Linked DNA regions of Coturnix japonica. The protein of the gene in region 2 purifies or fractionates together with the protein of the main gene of each other region. This does not show direct contact. Links are inferred from orthologs where the notes say so. Each region holds a gene or a part of one and is shown on either strand. Other genes may lie near its edges.

Region 1 (3,748 bases), on a different chromosome or scaffold from region 2:
TACTTATCACCATTGTAATGTTTTCCCTTTTAAGGTTTCTCCTCATCAGTGGGAGAGGGAGACATTCCTGCCCTGCACTTTATCAAACTGAATCTTGTGTTGTTCTTCCCTGCACAATCTAGTAATTTTTTCTCTATTTCCCATCACTTCACATCTTCGGTTTGAAAATCTAATTAAGATGTTGCTTAACATCATTAATGATCGTTAACAAGGAAGTAAGTAAATCCAGAGCCAAGGCTGAACTCAGAACACCAATTTAGATACCGCTTCTACTCTGTATACTGTCAATTTTGGTCCATCATTTGCAGTTTGGGCTTTTGATAGCATTGATTATGCCCTAACTAATAAGGTGTTATGCTTGAGCAACTCAAAAAGCAAAACAAAACAAAAACTAAGTTACCTGTGCTCTCTTCCTTTGAAGTTCTTCCTAACACGTCTATATTCTTTCAATTCCACCCAACCTCAATTCTTAACTGTAAAGCACTATGTCAGAGGTCCTCAGCACATGTCACAACCACTCCTCTCACCTGCTTGCCTTTAGTGCTACCATTCCTCTTCTAATGATCAAGAATAAAGTGAGCGATGGACAGGCAGCAGCTGGCTCAAAATAGAACACATCTGACTCAAAGCAAAGAAGTCAGCTTGCTTAATCCCCTTTCAGCCCTGCATGGTACACTGCACAGCCTCTTTTTCTTTTCCCCTGCTCTTTTATATTATCACATTGGCTCACTAACAGTAAGTTACCATCAGCTGTACTTGCAAGGGCTACTAAGAAGAAAGTGAAACAAAGCGACCACAAAGAAATCATGACTAGCCCTTGTCAGGTACTGAAGGTCTTGCTTTTTGAGGTACCACAATCCTCCCATTTTAGTAGTACAGGTGACTTCCTATCTGGGGGATGTTAAAAGGTGTTCTGTATCTTATCATTGAAAGAACATGGACAGTTACGGTGCCAACCATATATTGCCAAAGATTTGAGGGGAAAAAAAAATGGCTCTGTTCTTATTGCCAATCCTCAATTAGACCAAAGCCGGTGACTTTATATATGGATACCTATTTCACAGTAGAATTTTTTATACTTACTCCTACTACCACTTTGTTTTCCTAAATAGTAAGTGTATTTGTTAACAGGACTGTTGGGACCATACAGGGGGGAAAAAAAAGGTGAATTAGTACTAGCAATGCTTGGTGTTGGTTTAGGCATTAGATTATTCTCTTCATAGATAACAAACGGATTCTCTAGCTGGCCACAGAATTCCCCACACTATAACCCTAATTTAGGCAAAGTAGCTTTGGCAGAATGAGGAGTCAAAAATTCAGTGGCCTGAATCTTTTCTGGTCAGTCAGACACAGAAAGCAGAACTTGAGCACTACATAGAACAGAGTTTATAGTGTTACCGAAAGACTTCATTCTGAACTGAAAACCAGATTTGCTGAAATGCACCCTGAGCAGTGGAAATTTCAACTGTGAATCTTGTACATGTCAAAACTGTAAGCACGCTTCCCCATCATTTACTTACATAGATCCATAATATGGTTTCTGCAGATGGCACAGTTATCAACCACAATGTCCCACGCCCACAGAGCTACTGCATTCCACTAGAGTGAGGGGGGAAAAAAGAGAAACATAAATTTTATTCAACATATAACACATGGAAATCCTCATTATTCCTCAAGATCCTCTTTCTTTCTGAAATGATAAGGTTAGGATATTAAAAGACACACACCTTACAGCACCAGAGTAATTCTTTCTCAGATACCTCTCACACTCAGTGCCTCCTTCCAGTCTCAGAAACAATTGATACTAGTCCCACTCTCTTTTTTTTGCCATACAAATGCAAACATCTGCATTTCAATTCATAATCTGGAGGCAAGAATGCATCTCACGCCACATCCTCAGTTTGGAACTTCTCTTGTTTGTAGCTGTTTTCCCAGTAATCATCCCTCAGAGCAGCTGGGGCCAACAACCAGAATCACCTCTAACTTTGCCCCTCAGCGACTCCTGAATCATTTTCATTGCAAAAAATATACAATATCAAAAGTGCTCCCACAAAGTGCTCCTAACCACCTCCGGGCCTCGTTGAAGTGAACTTGGGATCTTTCACCACCATTCAGCTCGCAGCCACACTGGAGAGGGTAGGTCAAAGAGGGATATTATGGTTGTTAGGCCAAAGAGGGATATTATGGTTGTTTGGGGGAAGCAAAGCAAACCGGGATGACAAGACAGCATTTGTTGGTCACCTACGAGTTGATTTGTGAAGAATACAAAAAGAAGCAGCCACACAAATGCGTGCAAAGCTCCCTTCACATCACGTAGGGCCACTAAGACAACTGAGCCAAAGCAGCCGGGACTGAGGAGGCAACAGCAGCGCACCGACTCGCCCCTAAGCCCGGCATTACCCTCGGCTCTGGGCGGCGGGGCCCAGCCAGAACTAGCCCCGCCTCGCCTCTCTCCCTCCTCCTCCCCGCGTGGTCGCGCCCTCTGATTGGCCAACCTCCGTTCCACGCGCGGAGACCCGTCTCACCCATTGGCCCCGACACACGCCAATAGACTCCGCAAGCACCGCCCCCCCCTCCCCTCATACGGCGGTGCCGGTGCGGAAGCAACGCCCGGCTCCGTGAGGGGGCGCGGAAAGCGGCTCAGCGCCCCGACCCGCTCGCGGCCACCTGGCCGCTCCCGACCTCCCTCCTCCCGCTGGGACCGGCCGGGTAGAGCGCGCCACGCCAGCAGGTCTCACTTTCTTCACTTCGAAGCGCTTCTTGCCGGCGCCGCTGTTGGTGCCGCTGGGGGTGTCCACATCCATCGCAGCCGCCATTTTGGATGCGTGAATAGGCCGTTCCGCTCTGTGCGCATGCGCGGCGGAAGGGGCCGCAGGGAGGTGTGAGCGGAAGGTGTAGGCGGGGCTTCCGCCAGGGCCTGCCCTTACCCCCCCCCCCCCCCCCCCACACACACCCCTCCGTCCCCGGCAGAGCCTTTTTAAGGGAGGAGGTTGCCTTGCTCTTCAGCCCTTGCTCCCTTCCCAGCCCCTCAGGTGGGCTGAGCTGAGCTGCATATCCTTTGTACCATATCAGCCTCAGTGCTACCCCAGTGGTGTGGGATGTCTCTGGGGCGCTCAGGATGCACTCAGGAATGAAAATGTTCTGAAAGAAAGCAGGAATTCATGTGCTCCGAAACACTTTTTAGAGCAATACTTTATTGTACAGAGGTTATAAAAATGAAGTGCATTTTATAACTCCTTAAAGAACTGTAGGGCTGGCTGGCTGCCCTCCATTGCTGATGCCACTAAAAGTAATTGATTTGGCTAAGTTTGCCTTTGCTGTTGTGAGTGTCCAGACAGACAGCATCACAAATGGTACCTCATTTACCGTCTTTCCACATTGCCACAAAACTTCTCAGAGTTCATGAATATCATGGAACTTCAATACTCTGTAGCATCCCCAGCTGATCTGGAGTGCTCAGAGAAAATTTGAATTCTAAGAACAGAGCCAGAGGGGTAGATTAAGCAATATATCCCATAGTTTTTTGGCCCAGATCATGGTTGGTTTCTGCATGAACCCAATCCCTCTGCCTCTGTGTGTTTTCTAGATGATGGTCACATTATATTCCCATGTAGTGCCATTGTTTTTTCAATCTGTTACTAAAACCTCAGGTGAGAAATGAAGCCTCCCGCTCCCCATAATCTGACTAAGATGAACAGATGAGATTCAGAGAGAGGAACGAGTTGCAGCATTTCATGGGATGGTGACT
Region 2 (3,748 bases):
CAAATGCTGTCAGGAGCCAGAGTTACTCAGCTGACATTTCTGCCACCCATTCAGAAGGCAGCTGGTAAGCTCCTTTGAGCGGAGCCAGGGCAGCGCCTAATGCATTTCTCTGTTCTCCATAGGCTGGTACACTCCTCCAAAAGAAGACGGTTAATACCGAGGACTGTTGTATACCTGGACCAATGCCAACAAAAAGAGCTCTTTTTAATGTTTTCCAACACAGAGACTCGAGCTATGAGTGCCCCTATAACAGCCGTACTGAAGACTTTAGCTATTAGATAAGTTAGTGGATAATCTGTCAACTGACACGTCAAGTATAAGTTGCAGCCTTACCATTCCGCTCATCTTAGGCATCTTGGACTGAGCAGTCTGGGCCTTTGCTGTATTTGTTCTTCATGGATGAAGCGTATTTGGGCCACTCCCTCCCTTCTCCCCTTTTTTACTCTGGAGGTGTAATGCTGCACTGGAGCATTCAGCAGGGCTCGGTCACACACTTCAGTGCATTTCTTACCTTTCGCAGGATGCAGAGCGCCGAGACTTGAGTTGTGTTGTTTCATTTAAAGCCAGGAGGTTGACTATGTTGTTTAATACTGTTATAGGAAATGTCAGACCTTGCGAATCACAGTAGTTTTGTTTGTTTTTTTTCCCTCCGGTCTAAAATGGCAGCGTTTGTAGTACTTCCAAATTACTGATATAGGACAAGCACATGTACGTTACGTCATTAAACATTTTCATGGCTGTATGAGAATACGAACTATTTCTTGGGAGAGATGCTCACGGCCCGATGCTTTTGCTCTGCTTCCCCTCCAGCAGTGCAGGCGTTGTGCCTGCAGCACAGCACAGCCCATGGGCTGCAGCTGCACGGCCGAGGCTCCGAGTCATTGCAATCCCTACAATAACCAACAAAAGCCCACGTCTGTAGGCGATCCATTAATTGACGGGTTGTTGCAATCATTTGTCAACTAACGAACTGATAAAGCGAGTGCGGCACGACGGGGCGACAGCGAGCGTGGACGTGCGACGGGACGAGCCGCAGCGTCGGACGGGGCCGGGCCCAGCGCTGCCCCCATCCCTTGGTGGGCCCGGCCCGGCCCGTCCCGCCCGTCCGAGCCGCCCCGTGCCGTGCTGTGTGTGTGTGTGTGTGAACCTGCACCGAGGTGCCAATAAAGCCGTTTGACACCCGCTGTACGAGCCGCTTCCGGGGCGGGGCCGGAAGGGATGCGGGCGGAAGTGCCGTCGCCGGAAGCGGAAGCGCGTCCCGCCGTGCTCGGTGGGTGTCGGGTGTGGCGCTGAGCAGCGTGTGGCCATGGACACGGACATGGACGGGCCGGGGAAGGGCGGCCTCGTGCTCGGGAACCTGGCCGAGGTGGTGGAGCGCGTGCTCGGCTTCCTGCCCACCAAAGCGCTGCTCCGGGCCGCCTGGTAAGAGACGGGGTAAGGGGGGGGTCGGGCGGAGGTGTGTGCGCCGTTGTTGAGGTGACGGGCCGGGCGCTGTGTTGCAGCGTGTGCCGCCTGTGGAGGGAGTGCGCGCGGCGGATCCTGCGCACGCGGCAGCGGCTCAGTTGGGTGTCGGCGCTGGAGCCCGGCCCGCCCGGCGGACACGCGCTGCTCCGCGCCCTGCACACGGAGCTCCAGGTGCGTCGGGGGGCGGGGCCCGGTTCGTTCCTGCCGGGCGGGGCCGGTACCGGGGCGGCGTGACGAGCCCGCGCCGCGCGTGTCCTTGCAGAGGGTGCACGTCCTGCCGCACACCGTGCTGTACATCGCCGACGCCGAGACGTTCAGCGGGCACGAGGAGTGTCACGAGCACAAGAAAGGTACCGCGGGACGGGCGGGGACCGGCGGGAGGAGCGAGATGAGGCCAGCGGGGAACGAAGCGCGGCCACGGCTCGCGGCACTAAACGGGGCAATGGCGTCGGTAGCGGCCGTGGCGCCAGAAGGGACCGGCCGGGGCTTCGTGTTCCTGTCAGCTTTGCAATGATCGCTTCAGCTCCTCCGCGCCGTTTTTGTTTCCTTTTCAATAGCCAGGAAAAGAAACAGCAAAGAAACAGCCCTTGCGATCGAGAAACTGTTGCCAAAGCGATGTCAGGTCCTTGGACTGCTCACCCCGGGGATCGTAGGTAGGAGCCTCCTTGCAGTGCTGCGCTCCTTAGTAGCGTGTTCGTGCCTGTCTTCTCACCTTCCGTTCTCATCCTGCAGTATACTAAGAGGAAACCTTCTTCCTTGTTTCTGTGTTTTCAAGGCATAGCTCGTGCCGTGCTTCTCGGCAGCAAAAGCGTTTATGTGTTAAAACATTTTCTAGGTGTTTGCTTGGTGTTTGCTTCCAGTCTCTGTCACTGCAGCCGTGACTAATAAGAACAGGCCTATAGCATGAAGGAGTACAGGGCTGCATAAACACCTGTGTGAAGTTAATAGCCGTGAACATTTGATTCTGTGCCTATGGCTGTTTGAGTACTTAGAGTAAGGAAAATTAGTGTATATGTCTGTCTTCTCATGCAAAGTGACTTTAGCATCGTTTGTGGACAATGGAGCTGTTACACCTTTCATCTTTCACAACAACAGCAAAAAAACATTCACACCAGTTATCAGTTAGATGTGTTGTGATGGGAATGAGCTGTCACATTGTAAATTGCACATGCTGTTCTACCTCTTTTAGCCAGACACAAGTGTCAATCACTAATCTTTCTTTGTTTGTGTCTTTGTAGTTACCCCTATGGGTTCAAGCAGCAATCAGCCTCAAGAAATTGAAGATGGTGAAGCTGGGTTTGCTCTTTTGTTTCCCAAAATTGATGGGGTTAAAATCCAAACCTTCCATTTTCCTAAAGAAGTAAAGAATAGGGTCATTGATGAAAACAAATTTGCTGAAGCAGGTATGTCCTTGTTCTGCCTTCAATCTGGGCTTTTGTCGAGTGTTTGGCTGCTCTTTGAGGATCCAGCGTGAAACTGCATGTGGGACCAGCAGCTCCTGTGCTGTGTTCACAGAGCACTGAGGCTCTGCAGGGCTGCTCTGGTAACCACCCATCTCTGTTCCACCCATTCTTGGGAGCACTGAGGTTATTATCCTGAGTTTGTCTCAAACTTCTTCATTCATGCTGCAAGCAGAGCTGCTAAAGGGGAGCTAGTGGGTTTGAAGCAACCCAGTAATTGATTAAAATGAGTTTTGTGCCACAGGGAATTATTTTGGCCATCACTGTTTAGAAGGGAGTGGGAAGGAGTTGCTGCTTTTCCTTAACAAAGTATTTTTGTTTTTAGATATGAAGTTGGGTGTTGTAGCAAGGAAAGGTATAAAGAAAAATTATCTGTCTTAATAATAACAGTTTACGTTCTTCATGTTGTGTTTATGAAGAGTGATCTGAGAGCTCTGAGAGTCTTCCTGGAACCTGGAAGTTTCTTTCTTGGGATGGGAACAGGCTGATGCACACATCTTAATGGTTTTTAATTTTCTAAGTAAAGCTGTTTACTCCACTGTGGTTCTCATTGAACAACGTGTGTGCTCAGTTTGAATCTGTAAAAGGATAATTAGGACAGTGAAGTAAAACCCAAGAAGTGTGCCATGATAAAACGCAAATGCTCTGGGAAAGAAGCTGAAAGCAAGAGGAAGCAGCTACATCTACTTTTCATCTCTGTTCTTTAATGAAATTCTCATGTGTGTAGGGAATGCAGCCCAGCTCATGAATACATGGCTGCCCTGTGTCTAGTTTTTCACTTGCAACAACAGGAAGCCGTTGCTGGAGGCATTAGGTGTTATTTA
Region 3 (3,648 bases), on a different chromosome or scaffold from region 2:
AAATAATGAACAGTCTTTAGTAGAGGCAAACCATAGCACAGTAAAAAGTTAATATTTCAAAAACACAAGTTGAATAAATGGGAACATTTAACTCATTCATGCTTCTTCATGTATGTCTTAAATTCTTCCTTAAATTGATATAATTTCCACTGTATGGGTTGGACAGATAGAGCAGAGAATGATGACCTGATAATATCATCCATGAGGAAGAAGCAGCAGCAATCAATATCTATTGCTCTCTCCACTGTTCTAACCCTGGAAACCAACAGCATCCTTTAATGAAGCCCAATTCAAAATACATAATGCAAGTGCAGGGAAATCTCCCTTTACTTTCTCCAACTGGGAGCTGTGTTCAGATAGCTGTGCATACAGTGCATGCTGGCTTGGTTAGGCTAACTCCCAATTCCCAGCTGTCAGCAGCAAGTCCATTTCAACCTTCACAAAGTGCATCCTGTACCTGTTTCTACAAACACAAGTGCTGGCCATGAGATGCACACAGTTCAAATTTTCATTTTACCTTTCTGCAACTACTTGACAGCTACTTCCATCAAGTGCGCATCACTGAGCCTTCAATTTACATTCATCACCACACTTTCTTCTGCCAGAGCTCCAATAGGCACCACTCATGCTAATTAGTTTGCTAATTCTTTGTTTTTAAAAAACCCTTGGCATTTTACAATTAAACCACCACAGAATCCATTCGTGCCAGTCTGAGGATCCAAGTTTCTTACCACTCATTACTAAGGAGTTCTGAGTCACGATAAGCATTTAAGAAATGTTCAGTGCAAGACTAAATGTAAACTGCTCACAGCATCAATCTGCAAAGCACCCAAAGAACACCTTTGATCAGAAGGACTCAAAAACATCTCAGTGGAGCTTTATCTTCAGAACTCAGTGACTGAAACCACATTGTTCACTGCTTCACCATTAATTACTGGAAAGAGGTATTTAATGCTCTTCTCTCCACTTCTACATCCCTTTTAACACTTTCAAACTTTTACCCAATTGGAAAAGATAAGAGGAACTGTCAGGAAAACACAGACATGTTCACAGTCAAGGTTCTGAATGTTCCCTCGAACAAACCTGAAAGTTATTTGTCAGACAATGTGGGATTGTGCTCAATCAATCTTCTTCTGAGATTATGAACAGTTTTAGCTTTGTCACACTTCAACAAAAATAATTTTCTAAAGCATCCTTGCTTTCTTGAAACATTTTATTTCTGTTTTGGACCTTACAGATATACAAGGATGTGTCATGCAGTGGTAACTTCAGCTAAACACACTTAGTCCACATCTTGTGTAGGATGCAGCAGGAATTAAAACGATCAGTGACCTTGGGTATGCAGATTGATATTCTCAGTGTCTTACTTTCAAAGCACAGCTCAACACTCACCACTTAAAAAAAATCAAGTACCTTCAAGGAATTTTTGAGACACAAGCCAAAACCAAAGCATATGTTCTCCAAATTTTAATCAAAGCACATAAGGAGACAAGAAAGGATTTATGTTACCAGTTAAATCAATGAAAGCTGACTGGAAACCAGCAACAAAACCCATACTGACAGCCAGAGAAAAAAGAACAGTCATTACTGTTGTATGTGATCATTGCCTTTGCTCATCCTAGGACTAAGTCTAGGTGAGACTCAAAATTCATGATGCCTCCTATGCCTCAATAAGAAGTTACACACACAGAGAAAAGACTAGCAATTTGTCTCAAATGAATCCTAGAGCAGAATACTGTGTTCCTTTAATTTATATGTTCACTTTTCCTTGCTGCAGCCTCCAGATCACCCTTATATATTAGCCCTGAAAAAGCAAGGCGCACAGAGAGCTGCTACTCCCTGGCAGGGAAGAGAAGAATCCGTTTGATCATCTTTTGCCCAGTAGTGCTGTAAATCAGTCCCCAAGAAACGCCAGCCTTCAAAGAAAGCTGCTCCTGAGTCAGCCAGGAAAGTCCCCATACACTATCCAACAAGTGAAAACAGTGAAAAGAATCCATCTAATGAGGATCCTCCAGCATAAAGTTTGTTGCAAGGTCTTCACACCAAAACAAGATAATTAGTCTCAAACGTTTTTTCATTTCACTTGACATTACACATACGCAGGCTATCAAATGCATCATCCCTAGAAAGGATGTAGACAGATGCTTGTGCAACACCTTCCATTGCCAAACAGAAAACTCCTCTAAAATCAACAAGTATCCTTTCCAAAAAAGGGGAGTGAACAGGAAATATATTCTGTTATTTCCTTTTGAATGTAAAGTTTTTATTTTCTTGAAAGCTGGGTCTGGCAGCTACACCTTCATGTACCTGCAAGTGTGAAACAGTTTATTATGGAGTCTTCTATATCTTGAGTACTTTATAGGACCCAGAAGCGACAAATTACTGAAGCTACAACAGAAGCAAGAGTACAAAAAGTTGGACCACAACATTTGTATGACTCAAAAAGCCCAGCAAAAAGTTAGAATTAACCTTTCCTGTATACATCACAGCGGGTCTAACCTCAATCTCCACCTCCATCTGAGGTGCAGAGAACTCACTGCAATGCAGCAAAGAGGCAGCTTTCATGTGGTTATTTTCTGTGAACACTTACTTCCTTTTCTCCAAACGTTACCTCATTACCTATCCAGGAAAATATTTTTCTTGATAGAATAAAGGATGGGAGGTGAGAAGGGACATCTCCCACAGATATATTTTGTCTCTGGCTGGGTTATGGCAATAATGGGGGGTTATGGGAATAAATGGGAACATGCTATATTTCCTACCAGTTCAGCATAACACAAAAATTTTCAGGCCATCCAGCTTTGTTTACAGGCTGCAGCAATTTTTCACATTAGACAGGACATACAGGCATTCTTCGTGCCACTGCACTCACCCTCATCACTCGAGGTCTCCTGTTTAACCACTGACAACGGGGAGCGGGTTGGTGGTTTGCCTAATGGGTGACGACGACTTTTCTTTATCTCCATCTTCATTTTTGAAAAAGCAGCAGTCTGTAACAAATCAGAACAAGTTAGATGGGAACCCCAAAATGTCTTGGAAAGCAAAGGAGAGATTGGGACAACAGGCAGAATTATTGTCATAAAGGGTTATTGAATTTACAGTCTTTCTGGCTTTTCATTGTCTTTTGGATGGAATCAACAGAGCTTTCCACGCCAATTATTGCAGTAGGTAAAGCCAATGCTATCTTCTTAATATGTCAGGCAGCATTTTCTTAAGAACAGCTCAGAAAAGCTTCAAATCTGCCAGATCCATTGGCTCACAAGAAGTCTGGTCATTCCCAAAAGCAGTTGGAAAATCTATTACTAAAATCATGCACAGGGCACATAGGACCAGAAATACTTTACTAAATACTTTACTAAAACATTACAGTGCATTTTATGACAAATATGTTTATATTGTACCGTATCTAATGTCCTATGCACCACCCAGCATTGCAAATACTGCATGTATGCTGATCATAGCAGCTCACAGCCCTCTTTGGTGAAAGGTACTAAACACATCACATGTAAGCTACTTTGTACCACAAACAGACAGCGCCACATGGTTTTTTGTTGTTGTTGTTGTTTTGTTTTGTTTTTGTTTTTAATCACAGACATGAAGACGAGCAGCAGTGCTGAAGGATTAAAAATGAAATCCAAGTAAATTTTA

What was found.
Region 1: the proteins of FBXO22 (region 2) and RBX1 purify together in Homo sapiens (affinity purification with mass spectrometry; 4 studies listed by BioGRID). This does not show direct contact. The link is inferred for Coturnix japonica from reciprocal best matches to the Homo sapiens genes FBXO22 and RBX1.
Region 3: the proteins of FBXO22 (region 2) and KDM4B purify together in Homo sapiens (affinity purification with western blotting; 3 studies listed by BioGRID, with this or other methods). This does not show direct contact. The link is inferred for Coturnix japonica from reciprocal best matches to the Homo sapiens genes FBXO22 and KDM4B.

Annotation. Positions count from the first base shown.
Region 1 is NC_029516.1:45,482,854-45,486,601, forward strand, and holds the start of RBX1 (E3 ubiquitin-protein ligase RBX1), read right to left. Parts: upstream 2,545-3,748; 5' UTR 2,530-2,544; coding exon 2,401-2,529; intron 1,600-2,400; coding exon 1,521-1,599; intron 1-1,520. UniProt on the Homo sapiens protein: E3 ubiquitin ligase component of multiple cullin-RING-based E3 ubiquitin-protein ligase (CRLs) complexes which mediate the ubiquitination and subsequent proteasomal degradation of target proteins, including proteins involved in cell cycle progression, signal transduction, transcription and transcription-coupled nucleotide excision repair.
Region 2 is NC_029525.1:2,728,816-2,732,563, reverse strand, and holds the start of FBXO22 (F-box only protein 22), read left to right. Parts: upstream 1-1,206; 5' UTR 1,207-1,306; coding exon 1,307-1,422; intron 1,423-1,502; coding exon 1,503-1,635; intron 1,636-1,726; coding exon 1,727-1,814; intron 1,815-2,021; coding exon 2,022-2,117; intron 2,118-2,702; coding exon 2,703-2,867; intron 2,868-3,748. Other genes in the region: UBE2Q2 (ubiquitin-conjugating enzyme E2 Q2), read left to right, coding at 123-154. UniProt on the Homo sapiens protein: Substrate-recognition component of the SCF (SKP1-CUL1-F-box protein)-type E3 ubiquitin ligase complex that is implicated in the control of various cellular processes such as cell cycle control, transcriptional regulation, DNA damage repair, and apoptosis.
Region 3 is NC_029543.1:3,820,746-3,824,393, forward strand, and holds part of KDM4B (lysine-specific demethylase 4B), read right to left. Parts: intron 2,991-3,648; coding exon 2,873-2,990; intron 1-2,872. UniProt on the Homo sapiens protein: Histone demethylase that specifically demethylates 'Lys-9' of histone H3, thereby playing a role in histone code. Does not demethylate histone H3 'Lys-4', H3 'Lys-27', H3 'Lys-36' nor H4 'Lys-20'.